Linked DNA regions of Oryzias latipes. The protein of the gene in region 1 binds, or shares a complex with, the protein of each later gene. Links are inferred from orthologs where the notes say so. Each region holds a gene or a part of one and is shown on either strand. Other genes may lie near its edges.

Evidence for each region. The genes of interacting proteins can lie anywhere in the genome.
Region 2: mybbp1a (region 1) and dek share a complex: the UniProt entries of both Homo sapiens proteins name them as parts of the B-WICH complex. The link is inferred for Oryzias latipes from reciprocal best matches to the Homo sapiens genes MYBBP1A and DEK.

Annotation. Positions count from the first base shown.
Region 1 is NC_019872.2:24,964,290-24,967,938, reverse strand, and holds part of mybbp1a (myb-binding protein 1A), read left to right. Parts: intron 1-1,766; coding exon 1,767-1,901; intron 1,902-2,029; coding exon 2,030-2,111; intron 2,112-3,498; coding exon 3,499-3,630; intron 3,631-3,649. UniProt on the Homo sapiens protein: May activate or repress transcription via interactions with sequence specific DNA-binding proteins. Repression may be mediated at least in part by histone deacetylase activity (HDAC activity).
Region 2 is NC_019874.2:32,321,444-32,325,524, reverse strand, and holds the start of dek (protein DEK), read right to left. Parts: upstream 2,880-4,081; 5' UTR 2,784-2,879; intron 1,882-2,783; exon of another isoform or gene 1,624-1,881; intron 1,558-1,623; exon of another isoform or gene 1,324-1,557; intron 1,260-1,323; 5' UTR 1,247-1,259; coding exon 1,174-1,246; intron 1,141-1,173; exon of another isoform or gene 1,105-1,140; coding exon 1,003-1,104; intron 933-1,002; coding exon 823-932; intron 764-822; coding exon 669-763; intron 604-668; coding exon 474-603; intron 371-473; coding exon 95-370; intron 21-94; coding exon 1-20. UniProt on the Homo sapiens protein: Involved in chromatin organization.

The DNA.
Region 1 (3,649 bases):
TTCTTAAGTGGTTTTACTCTTACCTGACAGATCGACACTTTTATGTAAGTATGGATATGTGCTCTTCAGGAATCCACGAAATAAGCTGTGGGGTTCCCCAAGGGTCAATTTTAGGGCCAATACTTTTTAATTTGTATATGTTGCCTCTTGGGGAGGTCATCAGGAGACATGGCGTTGACTTTCACAGCTATGCTGACGATACACAGCTTTACATCGCCGTGTCTCCTGATGACCTGGAACCTGTCAACACTCTTTTAAACTGCATTTTAGATATAAAGTTGTGGATGGCAGAAAATTTCTTACAGCTCAACCAGGACAAAACTGAAGTTTTAATCATCGGTTCTGAAGACAAGAGAGAGATGATTTTACCACATCTTCATAATTTTAAACCTTCTCAATGTGTGAGAAACCTGGGCGTACTTTTTGACTCTGAGCTAAATTTTATCCCACACATTAAAAATGTCGTTAAGACAGGATTTTATCATCTCAAAAACATTGCCAGAGTCCGCCCGTTCCTCTCTCTTGCCAGCACAGAAGTGCTAATGCATGCTTTTATTTTCAGTCGTTTAGATTACTGTAATGCCCTGCTCTCTGGTTTACCCAAAAAGTCTCTTTCAAACTTACAACTTCTACAGAACTCAGCGGCACGAGTTCTGACGAGAACCAGAGGGCGGGAACACATTACACCGGTTTTAAAATCGCTGCATTGGCTCCCTGTGCGTTTCAGGATTGATTTTAAAATTCTTTTAATGGTTTATAAATGTTTTTATGGTCTTGGGCCTTCTTATTTAAATGATATTCTTTTAAAATATGAGCCCTCGCGGACCTTGAGGTCTTCCGGTACTGGCCTCTTAGTTGTTCCCAAGGTGAGGACCAAAACTTATGGTGAGGCTTCGTTCTGCCATCACGGTCCTCGCCTGTGGAACGGCCTTCCGGAGAGCCTCAGGGCCGCAGAGACAGTAGAGGTTTTTAAGAAGAGGCTCAAGACCCACCTTTTTAATTTAGCTTTTAGTTGATTTTAACTGCTAATTTATTCTATTAGTTTTAGTATAGGCTATTTTATTTATGTATTTATTTTAATTTTATGCATCTTATTTTCAATTTTATGTTTTTTCTTTTTTATGTTTTTAATTTTAGCATCTTATGATTTTAGCCCCAGTGTTTCTTGAGGGGATCTTTTCCTCCAGGGCTTGCCGGCTTGGTCAGCGGTTGTTGCTGCAGTTGTTGCCCTTGCTGGGGCGGCTGGGGTCTAATTTTACAGCTTTTGGCTGTGAGGGGGACCCCGGTGTTGTCCCGGTCTGGGTGGGCACTGTGGCGATGTTCCGGTGGCCGGGCTGGCTCCTGGTATGAAAGGATTCCCAGATACTGTTTCCTCACAGCAGAGCTAAGCCATACTTGTTTATTTATTTATTTATTTATTCTTTTACAGTTACATAGTCATATTTCATTGTACGTGGGAGCCATGGGTCATGTGGTTTAATGGAGGGGTGTGGGAAGGGTGAAGGGTGGGTTGGGGTTTTTATTGTAATGTTGTGTGTTTACTGTTTTTAGTGTTAAAGCGCTTCGAGCTGCACAAAGTGCATGAGAAGCGCTATTTTATAAATAAAGTTTGAAAGTTTGATCTATCAGCAGAGTTTCTTGTAGTCTGAACTTAAATGTCAAACATTTGTTCTCCTTTTTTTTCCCCTAAGCTTCATTCATTGATCACATTTGTATTTTGAATGGGATGAAGTTGATTAAAGGGCACAAACATGTTTTTCTATCAGGAACCAGCTCTGTAGGTCTAAAAGTTACTGCAGAACCGCAGGTGACAGGCAGGGGGAGCTGCATGACCTGCTGGAGAAGCTGATGACCAAATGCCAGAAACTGTCCGACTCCTCGCTGAGTCTCTACTACTTCAGGTAGAATCCTGTCTCCACTGTCATTTGGAAAGGTTTAAAAAAATAGGCCTGTGGTAAAAAGAGACAGAAAGTATAAATTGAAGTTAGAGTTAGACTCCATGTTGATCGTGTTCCTCTCCTTTCCTCAGTGCATGCCTGTATTTGGTGAAACTTCTGCGAGGAGCTCTTCCTGTCGAAGCCAAAGAGGCTCAGAAACCCACAGGACACAATGTAGGTTTATTATTTGACTTCCTTTCATGTTGTTGCCTTGCTCAGATCATTCGAGTAGGGATGGGTATCGTTAAGGTTTTAACGGTACTACTACTCTTATTGATACTGCTTTTTGATCCGGTATTTTACCGATACTCTTATAAAATAAATAAATAAATATTTTATTTCTGTTTTCATTTTAATCTAAAACAAAAGTAAATTAACTGCAGGTTTCGCTTTACCTCGGGGTCAAAACTAAGGCCGTTCATACCTGCTGAGTGTCTTGGGTGCTCAGCAGTCAGGTCTGTTCCTGGATTTTTATTGGGTCATGAAGTGTCCTGGATTACTTGGCCTCCTTTTGGTTCACCTGTCATCTTCACAGGAATCTTCTCCTTTACTTTAGTATTTGTTGTTGCTTTAAAACAAATCCATTTAGTATATTTTAAATGTTCATTTGTTGAGGTGGAAAGCCTTTAGTTCAAAAACATTTAGTAAGTAAGTAAAGCTTATTTCTTTAGCACTTTTCCCAGAAAGGATGGCATTGCAGGTCAAAACTACGACAAGAGGTAAAATGCATTAAAGCAGGCATGTCCAAAGTCCGGCCCATGAGCCAAATGCGACCCGCATTCAAATTTTCACCAACCCACTGACTCCCTTCACCAAATGAATACTATGCGGCCCACAGCGCTTTGGAAAATCTGGTTGTACAGTTTCTTGATTGTGATTGACTAAATTCTATATTATATATCTATATTATACTATATTATACAGATGATTTAATTATTTTCACCTCTCCAAATCGGCCCTCTTTGCAAAAAGATTGGACATCTTTGCATTAAAGAGAAAATCCCAAAATTGATGTTCGATTATTTTTTTATTTATTTACTTGTTACATCATGAAACCAATGCTAATAATCTGCAAAAACAATAAGCGTAGTTTTTCTGAACAACTTTTTGCAAAAAGAATCTGTTTAACAAAAGCTGTCTGACATACGCTTTTGGAAAATGGGTGAAGAAAAGACATTTTCAACGGAAAAGCTTTTATTCACAAATGAAGAAAAGAGAACAAAATGAAACCTTCTGAAAGTCTTGAAAGAACAATAATATAATCAATCCTATTATCAGAGTTTATGACTCAACAGTCAAACAGAATTTCTTTTGGATAAAACTAGATCCATTTGACAAAAATAGTAGCTTGGTTGTTATGGGGTCAGATCAGGATTGTATTAAAGAGAATGAAAAACCCAGACTGTAAATTTGAGAAGAATTATTTTATGAAAATGTAAAAAACCTTTTTAACCAGAAAGTATAGATTGTAGACTATAAAGAAATAAATGTTAAACCTAAAGGAAATTTTGCAGCCCTGCTAGGTGTGAAGAAACCCTGACATGTGTCCCTCTCTGTTTAGCTGCCGTTCATGGGCCAAGTGGACGTGGAGCGGGTCACCGGTGTCTTCAGAGAAGCTCTGGTCTCTTTCCTGAGCAGGAGGAAGAGCCCTCTGACCTCTCAGATGTTTACAGACCTGTTCAACAGATTTCCTGTGAGTCCAAGCGTGCATT
Region 2 (4,081 bases), on another chromosome or scaffold:
TCCGAGTCCGACCTGGAAGACTGGTGAACCCAGATGACTTCTGGATGCTGCTCTGTGATTGGTCAGTCTCTGCTGTCAATCAATATTGACTTACCTGCTCTTCATTGTCTGATCTCTCTGAGGGCTGCTCCTCTTCATCAGCAGGTTTCTCTCCGTCAGACTCTGCCGCCGTAGCCGAAGCTCCCGTCTTCTCGTCTTCGTCCTCGTCTTCGTCGTCGCTGCTGGAGTCCATGACGATGGCTTTGGACTTGCTTCCTGTTCTGGACTTCTTGGGGCTGCAGGAGCTGCGCTCTCTGGGCCTGCTCTTCTTCTTGGAGTCCTCACTGGTCAGCTTCTTCTTGGACCTCCTCCTCTTCTTCACAGGAAGGCGCTGAAGGAGGAAGCAGGAGGTGCTGAGAGGAGCAGCTGAAGGAGGAAGGTGGCTCCTCTCCAGAGGAGCCGGGTCCTCCTTGGGGTCCCAGGTCTGGACTCACCTTGCCGCTGTTCTTGGGCGCCAGCAGGAAGCTGAGGATCCTGTGGATGAGGTCGGCGTGGGTGCCCTTCTTCTCCAGGTCCAGCACGGTGCAGACCACCTTCAGCTTGCTGTTGCTCAGGTTGGAGCTCCTGTGGAGACGAGCGGCTGTGGTTTCTGCCAGAGACCAGCGGACCTTCTTCCGGCTCTCACTCACTTCAGCAGCTTGTCCCGTTTCCGGTGGAACTGCTCGCTGTCCGCCTGGAAGGGGAACCCGTTGAAGAGACGCAGGTTCCTCTTCATGGTGGACACCTGGAAGGGATTCGGTCAGCACAACGTTCTCAGCGGACCGGGCCGCCTGTGGGCTTTACCTTCCCGGGTCGGTCGTACAGGATGGAATGGAGCGGCTTCAGGTCTGCTGGCTTCATCCTGCTGATCTGGTGGGCGGTGCGAGGAATGTCCCCCAGCTTGTCTCCAGTACCTGCAGGGCGGGAATCGAACCTGTGGTCAGCTGCTGGTCCACAGTGGTCGGGCTGGCTCCGGCCGCTCACCGTCTCCGATCTTCAGCTTCTCCTTCTGCTTGGGGGCTTGGAGGTCCAGCCTCTCCACCGTCTTCTTGGCCCGCTTCCCCTGGAGGACGTCGCCCCCCCCGGCTGCAGCAGAGCAGACGTTCAGCAGCAGGTACGCAGGTGAGCTCACCTGAATAGCTCCGTCGTCCTCACAGGACTCCGTGGATCCGCTCCGGTCCGGACCCGCCTCCTCACGGTCCTCCTCAGACGCCGCGGAGCTGCCCATGGCGGCGCGAGTCCTGCAGATGATGACATCACCGTTACAAACAATGACATCACACACAGCCTTTGATTTGAGCTCACCGGAACGGACAGAACCAGAGCCGTTCCAGGAGAACTTCTACTCTGTAGAAGAAAACGCTTTGGTTCTGATCCGCGTGTGGTCGCGTTCCAACCGGGTTAGAAACACGATCGGCGGTAAAATTCCATGAAACCGTTTGGTCGTCTTCATCCTGAACATTGCAGACGTTACACCAGCGGGTCACGTTCAAGTCTCTGCTGAGGAGCTTCAGACTAACGTTTTCCAAAGGGAACTTCCATCAAGTGCATGGGCGGGGTCAAAGGTCACAGACACCGCTAACCTGAAACGTTTCCTTATTCCAGGGTAGAATGACAGGACCGGCTGCAGAACCCAGTTCTCCCGTTGGCGGGTCAGTTAAGGCGGAACCTTAAACACCTCTGATCCGGACCCAGAAGACACGGATGTAAAGAACTGGAGGATTTAGACGGATCAGTCGTGATTTTCACTAACATCAGTCCGGACGATCCTTTATTCCAGGATCCGTAGTTTTAGGAGGACGAACTCTGCAGTCCGGACCATCGTTGATGTTTTTATGCATTAAAGTTCATCTGTTGATCCGATTCCAGAGTCGTCTTTTACTGATGAGGTCCTTTTTAGACAAAACCCAAAAAGCTGTGTTGTTTTGTGGGACACAGTTTCTGCAGAGCTCATCAGAAATTCTGTTGTGGGCAGGAACGCTTAAGCCCACCCCCACATCCCATCATCCCTCCGTTAACTCTCTCCTGCTAGCTTACAGCCCCTCACGACCCAACATTAGCAGTGTAACAGCAGCATCAGAGCCATCCAGCCGTCCGGTTCTGATCCAGATTCCAGCTCAGACCAGGAAAACAGAGACGACCATGAATCGGTTGGTCTGCAGGTGGATGATCGGAAAGGGGCGGAGCTTTGAGACTGCGGCCCCGCCCATTGTAGCTCCTACCTCACACCTACAAGCGTTTTCAAACAGTCTTTTTTTTCATCTGCTCCTGATTCACAGCGACTTGGAAACAGAAAAATCCATTTATATCTTAATGTTCTTTATGTCTCCATCATCAAAAACAGCGTTTTTCATCAGAGGGGTTTTCATCCACACAGTGGCTGCATGTATGTCCGTCATCTGTTATTGATAAAGGAAAGGACTCCATTTGGGCCATTCCTACAGACTCCCTACTTTCAGGCGCCACGCGCTCAGTTTCAGGGCGTGCACGTGGGTAGGTGCGCTTAAACAAAAGAAGAAAACTAAGCATAAAGTAGAAAAGCTCAGATCCTAGCCGCGCGCCGCCGGTTAGTTCCCCATTGAGCATGCGCAGAAGAGCTCAGTTCGAAACAAACAATCGTTTGAGCGGCGCGCGCGCGCTGCACGCACTGACTTAACTGCCGTGTGACGCGAACGGCGGCAGTTCGGAGACACGTATAGTAACGGCACGAATCCCGCGAGCTGTGGAAACGTTCACCGTTTCATGAAGACCCGCGCGCGGCTTACCTGTCACTGCGCCCGTTTGATTTCACGATGGCGGTTTCTTTCGAGGGCGGGGCTTACAGCGGCCGCTCTGTTCATTGGACAGTCTTCTTTTTCTGGTTCAGGCGGGTTGGTCCCGCCCCCTACCGGTCTGGAGGACCAGAGGAAGTTTCTTTTTGCTTACATTTTAATTTACTTTATTTATTTTCTTTTATTGAAAAAACACTTGAGGTTTACAGTATTGTGGCAAATAATTCAACACGTTACAATTACAACAGGAATAGAAAAATGTAAACAACATTAAAAAAGTTTAATACAGAAAAATACTTAAAAAGATAAAAAGATTAAAATAAAATAAAATGAGGGGCTCACATGGATATCGTAATGATCAATAACTTAGGAGATTACCTCTGATACTTTGAAGTTCCATCGTTTATTTTCCATGACGTTAACGGATGAAAAAAAAGAGCAGACTTCTTCATGATTTTAAGGAATCGACATTTATGTTTAGAGAATTTACCCAAAAAATTACAACATTTAGAATAAGTTCTGTGTTTTTGTTTTCTAAAATAAACCCAAAAATAATGTCCTTAATAGAAAAATTCTGCTAAACGTGGAATCTTGGGGAAAAGCCAATAATGTAAATTATTCCAAATGACATTAGAAGGAAAACATTCAGAGAAAAGTTGCTCAGTTGTTTCATCTCCACATGAAGAAAACAACAGGTTTCAGGAATTCCAAACTGTTTTCTTAGTAATTCCTTGGAAGGGTAAATACCTGAAAAGGTGTTAAAGTGGACTTCCTTGGCTTTAGGAGGGATGGGGGGGGGGGGGGGGGGGGGGGGTTGAAATATTTAGTTCCTATTTGTTTATTTTCTGAATTATTAAAATATTGGGTTAAATAGTCAGGATTTGAGATGCAGGGAAAATATGTTTCATTCAAACATTCTCTGATGTGGTGGTTGGGGGGTTTGGACGTTGCTGTGTTGTGTCCATTAACCAGAAGCGTGGAGACAGCAGGACGTCTGTAGATGACATCATGAAACAGATCAGAGACTGATTTACAACATTTTGAGGGACGGCATTAATAATGTTTTCAAAATCTTTTCTATTTGAATCATATTTAGCTGTGAAATCATCCAAAGACATGCGAGTAGCATTGTATAGGTAACCCTTGTTCTATCCTAGACACTTTAACGTTGGGAGTGGGGTCATCTAGACCCACTAGACAGTGCTCTGAACCTTTTTTCTTCAATGATTTGTGATCTTCACTGGTGTCCATGGATTACAGGAAATCTTTCCACCTTTATCCACCTTTGTCAT